Linked DNA regions of Rhinolophus ferrumequinum. The protein of the gene in region 1 purifies or fractionates together with the protein of each later gene. This does not show direct contact. Links are inferred from orthologs where the notes say so. Each region holds a gene or a part of one and is shown in the gene's direction. Other genes may lie near its edges.

Region 1 (4,966 bases):
ACTGGCATTTTCAACTGACTGTCCCCTTTTTCTTCACACTCAATATCATAACTCATTCCAACTTCTCCATATTTATTGGGAATACCAACTTCTTTCTAGTTTCCTTGTTTAGAAATTTTACAATACTGCAATTATTCCGATGTTGGGGATTTATTTCCTTTACTCAATTTCACTGACTCTAGACCTGGTTCAGACTTTCATCACTTAATTCCTAGAAAAATGAAAGCCTTTGGCTGGCTGGAGGGTCATTCTGACTTAAATTTCTTCTCTCCTCCAATTTATACTGCGTATTTCTGCAAGACATTGCAACTGAAGTATCATTTTATTCAGAAGTTCATGCATTGTTCTACGTATTTATCAAGTATTTGTGCACGTTTATTATGTGTATGACAGGGGTCATTCTCTTGTATAAAACCTTAATTAATGCTCACATGCCCTAAATGAGATAGTATGTTTTCCACTTTACAGATAAGGAAAATGAGATTTAGGTATGTGGGGTTACCTGCCCAAGGTCACAGTTACACCAACAAGAAAACGGTAGAGCTGAGATTTGACCACAGATCTGTTAGCTGGGAACACGGAGGTCTGTCATTGCATTAGTGAGCAGTAGCTCAAGTTTAAATCCCTGCTTCTCTTTGGGATTTAGCCCCACAAGTCTTTGGATATATCTTTGGATATAGCCCCACAAGTCTTACTTCAGTTCCTACTACTGCTGAACTTGCATCTTGTGTTCCACATTTCAAGTATCTTTCTACTTATCTTCTGTGCCTTGGCTTTTTTGCTTCAATTAGATTGCAAGCGCCTCTGCAAAACCAGAGACTATCATTCTTGTATTGAATTTCTGTCAAGATCTACCCCTGTGGAAGGCACACAACAAATTCTCATTGAAAACAGGGTGCCCTCTGTATCTGTGGGTTCCACATCCGTGGATTCAACCAATCTCCGATAAAAAATATTTTTAAAAATGTTACGTTGTTGCTGATGTGTACTATAGAGTTAGGCGTATGATGGTTGCATCTGTGCTGAACACCTACAGAATTTTTTTCTTGTCCTTATTCCCTAAACAATGTAGTATAACAAACGTTTACACAGCATTCACATTGTATGAGGAATTATAAGTAATATATATATACTGGAGGACGTGAGTAGGTTATATGCAAATATTATGCCATTTTATGTAAGAGACTCCGGCATCCTGAATTTGGTACCTAGGAGGAGGGGTTGCGGTGGGGGTTTGAGGTGGTCCTGGAACCAATCCCCCTCCAGAGGGCTGTGACTGATAAAATCTTTAGCATCGTCCTTGGCACATATTCTTAACAAATAGTAACAGCGATTATTTATTATTACTGGAGGGGCTGATGCATCAAATTGAAGTTCTAATCGGGAACTATAAACTTCGGATCCCTACCTCAACCCTAAGAACTTTTTGCTTGTTTGCCTTATGATCTAGAAAAATGGTTTTCCAGGTTACGTGAGTACATTTAGTCCTTTCCCACCCTTTCTAAGGAGCAGTGTCAACTACAACACAGGCCATCACGCAGCAGCAACGTTGTCCATCATTATTACCGCTCTCTTCGAGAGTGCTTTAGAGGGGGTAAAAAATGGAGTAGTTGTAAATTTTTTTGAGATAAATGGTTAACGTGTTCGCTACCTTTCAAGCGGTTTCACTTCACTTCACTTTAATTAAGTTTACAGGACATGTTTGTTCAAGACCTCCAGGCTCAAGTTTCTGATACGCAGAGGCTCGCATAGTCATCTCCCCCGGTCCTACAACCCCTTAGGATATTCGTTTGGAATAGAATTGTCCCCGATCCAGCAATTGGCGATTCCACGCATCTGACTTGACGGTGGGAGCCGCACCGCCCCGGTGACGCGGGGAAGAAGGGCGGGGTTAGGAGGTCTGGTTTTCAAAGGTTCTACGGCCCGCCCCGCCCCCAGGGAGCGCAGTCGCGTCACGTCACGTTACACGCTCTCCCGGAAGTACCTCTGAGTAAGCGGTGGGGGCGTGTCTCCAGGCCGCCCCGCGTGTAGTTCCCGGAGAAACGCGGGAAGTGGGATCCAGGTACCGTTACCTCCACTGCCGAGGCTGCTGCATTCGCGCAGCGAGCCGCGAGCCTGGCCGAGGCCCAGAACGTGAGACTCTGTCTCGACGCCATGGAAGTAGTGGAGGCCGCCGCTGCTCAGCTGGAGACTCTGAAATTCAATGTCACCGGCTTTGGGGTTGGCCAAGGTCAGGCGGTGCAGTCACCGGGCTCCGTTCCTGTCCCAGAGCCACCGCCGCCACTACAGTCGGAGGAGGGGACTCCAGACGCTGGGCAGGCCGCGGAGACTCCGCTAGCCAAGGAGCAGCCGCCTGAACTCGTGCTCGGCACCGCGATCGGCGAGAGCTCCGCGCCGCAGTCGGGGCCAGAACCGCCACCTGGAGGGAACTGCGTCACCGGCACGGGCGCTTCACAGCTGGCGCAGTCCCCAGGCTTCTTGGAGATCTCGGACTCGGATTCAGAATCGGACAGGTCGGGTGCCTGCAGGTCCCGAAGATGCGGGGAGAGGGCTTGTGTAACTCGCGCGGGGAGCCGGAGCCTGGGGGCCGAGAGGGTGCTCGTGTGGGCCTGGGGGTGAGGAGAGGTCCCCGAAGCTCACAGCGCACGTGTTGACTAGCAGCTCGAACCGCCCATTTCTCTCTGTTGACTGCAAATCTTGCTGTGAATCTGAGCCTGATTAATAGTCCGCTCGCTCTTCCCTAAAATTTGGTAGTCTGAAAGATCCTATGTGTATATACATCGTATCATTTTCAGTTAGACTCTAGAAAACCTGAGGATATTGGATTATTTCTCTAGCTACTTAGTTTGGCGTGTCCCTTGTGGTTGTAACTGAGTTTTGTGTCAGATCTGACTTTTTCCCCCCCATGAAGTTTTAACGTGTGCTTGTGTTTTTGAAGCAGGTGAATTGAGGATTAAAGGATTCTGTGCTTCCAAATTGGCTCCTGACAATTTTGTTAATTCTTAGAATCCTTGTTGGGAGCATGTGTTCGTGAAATCAGCAAAACATTATCACTTAGTATTGTTGTATACTCTGGTTAAGTTTCATAAGACTTCCTCCCCTGACCTTCCCCCCCCCACCCCCTCCCGTGTCTTTTAAATATGAAACTTATATGGTGGGTGAAGACTTAAGGATTTAAGTGTGTAGGATGTTCCTTACTCACATTAAATGTTTACAAGTAGTATGTGAGTGTGTTGTGTGGGGTACAGAACAGAGGTGAACAGCAGTAAACATGATCCTTGCCCTACATTCTAGTGAGAGGGATGAAAAATATAAGTAAACATATCAATAAATAGAGTTGGTGAAAATTACCATGAGGGAACAAGCAAGGCACTGAGAAAGTATTAGGAGAACCCCACCCTTGTAGGACCCTGTAGCCATGTTAAAGTTTTTAATTCTAAGTACTGAAGAAGCTGTTGAAGAACTTGAAGCAGAGAAATGGCATGTGCAGGTTAACATTCTAATAAGTTTTGCTCTGTGGCGGAAGAATTGAACTGGGTTCAAGAGCAAAAGCAGAGGAGAGTGGAAGTAGTTGGAAAGATGTTGCATGGGTCCATGATATGACCATGGTTGTCTGGATTGAGTATTTTGAAGTCACCCTGGTCAGGCTTACAAATAGATACGGAAGTGGCTAGGCAAAGAGCCATCAGCTGGGTTGATTGTGGTGCTGTTTACTCAGTGTTTACTGAGATGGGGGCTAGAGATCAATAAGAATGTTTAATTTGGACAGTTAATTTGAGATTTCTCTGACAGCCAATTGGAGATGTCAGGCAAGCAGTAGTTTGATGAATGTAGGGTTTGCAGGACAGTTCTAGGCTGGAGATGTACATTTCAGCATCATCAGATTATCGTTAAAACTAACTTTTTATTATAGACATGTTCAATTTGGGAAAAAGTAGAGAATAATATCATGAATGCGATATACTCATCACCAAACTTAACAGTTTCTAATATTTGCTAATCTTGTTTTATCTAACATTTTTTAACCTGATAGTTTTAAAGCAGATCTCAGTCATCGTGCTACTTTACCTGAAAATTCTTTACTATGCATTTCTAATTGATAAAATACTCTTTATATAACCACCATTCGTTATCAACCTTACTAAATATTAATCCTAATTCCTTAATATCACCTAATACTTGGTCTGTATTCATATTTTTCTGGTGGTCTCAATGGTGTCTTTTAACAGTTGGTTTGTTTGAATTAGAATTCAAACAGTATTCAAACTCTGCATTTGAGTGTTACGTCTTTTAAGTCTTTTTTTCAGTGAAGTTCATATTTAAAGCCATGACGACAAAACGGTGGAATACCACAGTAGTATAATACATGCAAAACAATGGAAGTTTTCTGAGGAAGTGAGTGGGGAGGCATGCCAAATGTTGCTGAGAAGTTGAATAATATGACAGAAAGGTGTCCACTGGACTTTACAGCTGGAGATTTTTGGTGACCTTGTAAAGGAGTGGTGGTGATGGAAGACAATTTAGGGGTAAAGACTGAATGAGAAATAAGGGAGTAGAGACAGAATGTGTTAATCACTTTTCCAAGGTATTTTAAGGGGAGAAATGAGGCATCGATGAATGGTTAAGCATGCGGTGCAGAACGTTGGTGTGCTGATGGGAATGATTTGGGACAGAGGGAGCGATTCTTAAGCCAACAATGGTAGGAAGGAGTTCACTTGCAAATCGGATGGGTTCCTGAGCCAAGTGGTGAAATGGCCTTTGCCCATTTCCGGCTGTAACAGGAGGAATGATAATACTTACCAGAGCTAATGTCATGATTTCAAGGCCTTCATAATAAGCAATTTGAAAAAAAGTGCTGTGGGAGATAGGAAAGGAAGTCAGTAATGCTTCTTTTGTTGGTTAGGGGGTGGCTTCAGAGGTGGCAATATTTAAGATGAACCTATAACCGTGTTTCCCCGAAAATAAG
Region 2 (4,966 bases), on another chromosome or scaffold:
AAGTGAAAACATGTAAAAGATCAATTTTTGGTTACATTGTGCATACAAACTTTACTTTCAAATTATTTTTTATTGTTTATATACCATATTTTCATTGTTCAATTGATATGTGTTTATATTTGTGAAATTAGTTGGGGTCTAAGGTTAGGATGAATCGCATCCTGATTTTTCTTATTAAAATACCAAATTTAAAAACCTATTAGTAGTTTATTTAATGACTGCTTGCAGGGTTAAAAGGTAAAATTTTAAGTTGGCTTAACTGACCTGTGATCCCACGGCCACCTTGCAGACTTCTGAAGTTCCACTTTCTGGCTGTTCCACCATCACAGAAATGGCAGGCCTTCCACTGAATAATCAAAGGCAATTAATTTGTAGCAATTATCTAATTAATATCCAGCCAGTGTTCCTAGACACAGTGGAAGAAATATGTTGGAGATACCAAGAGCCACCCCAGTCTAGGCCTACTCTCCTCCCCAGCGTCACTGTCCACTAATCTTCTACAATAACTGCAAAATGGGGGCCTACTCAGAGCTGTCCCCACGCCACTCCGGAGTGCGGTTCCCAGTGTCCACGCAGTTTTCCTCCTCACCCCGCTAGCTGTCACCACTATGCCCTCGGTGTTATGAGGCCAGGCAGCGGTGGGAACCACGAGGAAAAAGGTTAGGGGGTGGGGGAGGGAAGTCGGCGGGGACTGCAATTTTAGATAAGGTGGTCATCAGGGACCCCCTCCCATGAGTAACATTTGAGCAGATCCCTGCGGGAAGAGGGAGAGATCTTCGGGCTCCCTGGGGAAAAGCGGCCCAGACCGAGGCGCTCCCTGAGTGGCCATCCATCCCTCGGCAGGAAAGTGAAAGCAGAGTGTGAGAAATGGTGCAAGAAAGCAGGAAACGATTAGCAGTGTCAGGCTTTACCTGAACCTTGGCACCTGGGGTACACCAACCAGGACCAGCTCAGGTTGCGCACTGCCCATCTAAGGGGGCAGATTCTACCGCGGTTTGGAATCGCACTGGGCGGACCTCGCATTCTCCCACCCAGCTCGCAGACGCAGCGATTTGTCCCTTTAGACGTGGTCACGCCCCGCAGGTACCGCCGCCTCCTCCCGCTCCCAGAGCGTACAGGTGACGCCAAACTCCGACTAGCCCCAGCTGGTGCCCGGGTCCCTCCCCAGCATCCCGCCTCCCTCCAGGACCCACCTCCCTCCAGGCCCCGCCCACGTCTCCGGTTCCTTCGGGGCCCGCGGATGACAGCCCGAGCCCCGCCCCTAAGCTGAGCAGGAACAATTGGTCTGAGTCCGAGCCCTCACTTCCTAATTGGTTGTGCTGTTTGACACGCTTCCCCAGAGCTGGTGACCGGGAAGTGATTTCTAAGACTTGGGCCGCGTGCATCGCTTACTGGGGAGTCGGTAGCCGCGACCGCTGCGATGACCAAAATAAAGCGAGATCCAGATGAGCAGGAGGCTCAGCCGGAGGCGTCCTCCGGGGATCGTACTTACCACGAGCTGCTGGTGAATCTGAACCCCATCGCGCAGCCCCTGGCTTCTCGCCGCCTCACGCGGAAGCTCTACAAATGCATCAAGAAAGGTACGGCGGGCGGCGCGGTGGCGCGTGGGGGCGCGGGTGGCGGGCCGAGGCCCGCGGACTGACTCTTCTGTCATTGCAGCCGTCAAACAGAAGCAGATTCGGCGCGGGGTGAAGGAGGTTCAGAAATTTGTCAACAAAGGCGAGAAAGGGTAAGAACCCCCTCCCGCTTGATTTTGCATTTCCAAGCGGTAATGAAGGTATCCCTACTATTTAGTAGGTGCTCGGTGAAAATCGGGGTAAGTGCTCTGACTCTATTAGAAGATAATCAAGCAGTCAGTAAATTCTCTTCAACACAGCTAACCTATACATCACCTAACTTACCCAGCCCAAAGGGACACCGCGGGGAAAGTGAATTCCGGGGAAGCGAATAGGATAAGCGAACTCTTCGGGTAGACCCGGCTTCATTCTTCATTCAGCGACTGTTTATTGAGTTTCTACTCTTTCAGACACTATGATTTTAATCAAAGTAAAAAATTGTAATAGGTTAACTATGAAGAAAAAGTGCTTTTGTGAGAATGATTTCCTTACCCTACATCTTTTCTGGCATTTATCAGAATCTGAAACTCATTTGTATTCTTATTCCATCTCCCAGTCAGGCCAGACAATAGGCTCTTTGAGAGAAGAGGATAAAGCCTCTCCCTGCTATATCCCCAGAAGTGTCTGGTACCTTGTAGGTGCTCAATAAATAAATATTGCTGGGGGGACTTGATGCTCAATGGAGCCTGACATAGGTGGGGGTAGCTGAGATCTGAATATATGGGATTAGTGCCGGGGGGAAGGGTTCTGCCAGAATAGGTCCCAGGGCAGGAGAGGGGAGGGGTGGACAGAGTGCCACCTTTTCATGGAGCTTTGTAAGCCGTAAGTTTTTGTACTCAGAACTTTGGGGCAACAATGAGGGTTAAAGCCAGGAAGTGACATAATTATGTTTATAACTTAAGAAGATTTTTCTGGCAACTTTGGAAAGGATCAAAGGTGCAAGAGTATATGGGGAAATTGAAATAGGAGGTTACTGTAGTCTAGAGGAGGTGAAGGATGATTTTGATTAGGTTGGGTATGGTGAAGATGGAGAGAACTAAAGTGGATGGATCTGAGAGGATTTTCAGACATGGAGTGAGGAGGTATGGGTTCTAGCTGAACAGACAGAGGGCCCACTCATTGAAACAGTGAGCAGTGGAGGGGACGGGCTTTGTGTAGGAAGATCGCGTTTGGTTTTAGGCAAGTTTTCAAGGTCCCTCTTAGACTTGTGACCCCTCTCCCCAGCAAAACTGTCAAACAGTCAGGTGGTTATATGGGCTGCAAGCTTAGAAGAGGGCCAGGATGGAGAGAATAGATTTGGGAGTTGTCGGCACATAGATGGCACTTGATGCCACGGCCACAGATGAGGTCAGAAGGTACTGAGAGGGCAGCCAAGGACCAGGTGTGAGGAGCACCAGGCTACTCAGAGGAGCCTGCAGAGGAGAGCCCACAAGGCAAAAGGCAAACTAGGAGAGTGTAGACCCAGTAGTTTGAACCAAGAGCTCTTTCCTGGTGTTTGTGGTGCTTGCATCTCACCCCTGGAGAACAGACTCTGCCTTCTGTCTTCAGGGCTCTGGAGGCCCTTGCCCCAGAGTGCCAACACCTTGCCAGCTAGAAGCCCTAGCTGAGGAATCTGGCAAGCCCTGTCAATTTGGGGACTCAGTGCATGCTTCTTAGCCTGGCACTCAAGGCCTTTGTGTGTGGTCCCTGCCAATCTCTCTAGCCTCGTCTGCCCGTCTCCATCCTGGATTCCAGAGCCATCCCAGGCTGCCATCAGCCAGCCTCTGTGTGTCTGGTGCCATTCTGATTCTCCTTAAATGCTTTCTCTGCCCCCTGCACTCCCACCCCCACCCCCACCCACAGGGCTGCCTGGCAGACATTCATCATCATTCAGCTTTCTGTTCAAGTGTGGCCTCCTGATTCTTCTTTTAGCACTTTCACAGGTCCTCTCCCAGGCAATGGGGCCAGGATTTGGTAGCTGATGCTGAAAGAAAACCCTTGATTGCATACTTGCCCTGGGGCTGTGCCAGTGGCACTTTCACTTAATGGGACAGAGACTGTTCTGTGACATCTTATTCAACATTGTGCCTTTCTCTCTGTGGCTCTAACCTTAGGTCTTCTCCCTTTTCATCCTTTGCTACACAATAACAAAATAAAAAGAAAATAGATAATAATAAAATAAATATTATTTCTCCTCCAAAAATAAATAAATAAATAAATAAAATATAAAAAAGAAAATAGAGATCATCTCTCCAGAGGAACACAGTCACCAAATACAAATTTGCACGCACTTTCAGAGGTTGGGTGACCCACGTTAATAACTGGGCTCCTTGAGGGCAGGGGCCATCTTACCCATGTCTGTACCCCCCAAGGCCCAGTCCACAGGTGGTACTTTTGACTGAAGAGGGAATGAGCAAGCTAGAAATGACAGTGTTTCTCCCGTTTCAGGATCATGGTTTTGGCAGGAGACACGTTGCCCGTTGAGGTATACTGCCATCTCCCAGTTATGTGTGAGGACCGGAATTTGCCCTACATCTATATCCCTTCAAAGACGGTAAGGAGCCCATGAGCCTGACCTTAATCCCCACTGGAGGGGGCTGGGATAGGAGCTGCGGCAGCAGGCCAGTGGGAAAGAGTACAGGCTCTAGAGCTAAGACGGGCCTGGGCGGCTTCTTGGCTGTGGCCATGCTAGTCCTGTTAGGTGGGTGCAGTGCTCAGAGGGGGTGTTCTGGGAACCTCACACATCAGGAGCCAGGTCTAGAGCACAGGGACTGGGGGGATGGCAGGAACCTGGAAAGCATAGGCCTTGCCGAAGGGGACAGCCCCTGCTGGGCTAGAGCCTTTTCACAGCTGCCACACGGGAATGTAAACCCAGTGTTGCTGGACCACTTGAAAGTTTGCTGAGTTTAATTGATGGCAACCAATTTGAAATGTTTTTAAATATAATGATGACCAAATAGCACACATCTGTGAGCCAGATTAGACTGGTGGGTTTGTGACTTCCTGGCAAACAGCCCTTCTGTCTTTTGCAGGACCTGGGTGCAGCCGCAGGCTCCAAGCGCCCCACCTGCGTGATAATGGTCAAGCCGCACGAGGAGTACCAGGAGGCCTATGAGGAGTGCCTGCAGGAGGTGCATGCCCTGCCCCAATCGGTGTGACGGACCTGGGCGGCAACCTGGGCACCTGCTCCAGAAGCTGCTGGTCTGGCGGCGAGCTGGCTGGCTACCCTCCTGCTGCCCACTCAGCATCTCCCCAGCCCCTTGAGCACATGTTTTTTCCCAGGAAGCTCCAACAGTTATTTTGTGAAGGCAAAGCCATCATCTTCTCCATAGTGCTGTTTCCTGATGAATTTCCTGGCATTCATTTCCAGA

Evidence for each region. Proteins that work in one complex are often made in the same cells at the same time.
Region 2: the proteins of NAF1 (region 1) and NHP2 purify together in Homo sapiens (affinity purification with western blotting; 3 studies listed by BioGRID and IntAct, with this or other methods). This does not show direct contact. The link is inferred for Rhinolophus ferrumequinum from reciprocal best matches to the Homo sapiens genes NAF1 and NHP2.

The regions. Positions count from the first base shown.
Region 1 is NC_046301.1:53,285,911-53,290,876, forward strand, and holds the start of NAF1 (H/ACA ribonucleoprotein complex non-core subunit NAF1), read left to right. Parts: upstream 1-1,980; 5' UTR 1,981-2,154; coding exon 2,155-2,513; intron 2,514-4,966. UniProt on the Homo sapiens protein: RNA-binding protein required for the maturation of box H/ACA snoRNPs complex and ribosome biogenesis.
Region 2 is NC_046307.1:4,933,684-4,938,649, forward strand, and holds the start of NHP2 (H/ACA ribonucleoprotein complex subunit 2), read left to right. Parts: upstream 1-1,329; 5' UTR 1,330-1,420; coding exon 1,421-1,580; intron 1,581-1,659; coding exon 1,660-1,729; intron 1,730-3,523; exon of another isoform or gene 3,524-3,651; intron 3,652-4,043; coding exon 4,044-4,149; intron 4,150-4,627; coding exon 4,628-4,753; 3' UTR 4,754-4,966. UniProt on the Homo sapiens protein: Required for ribosome biogenesis and telomere maintenance. Part of the H/ACA small nucleolar ribonucleoprotein (H/ACA snoRNP) complex, which catalyzes pseudouridylation of rRNA.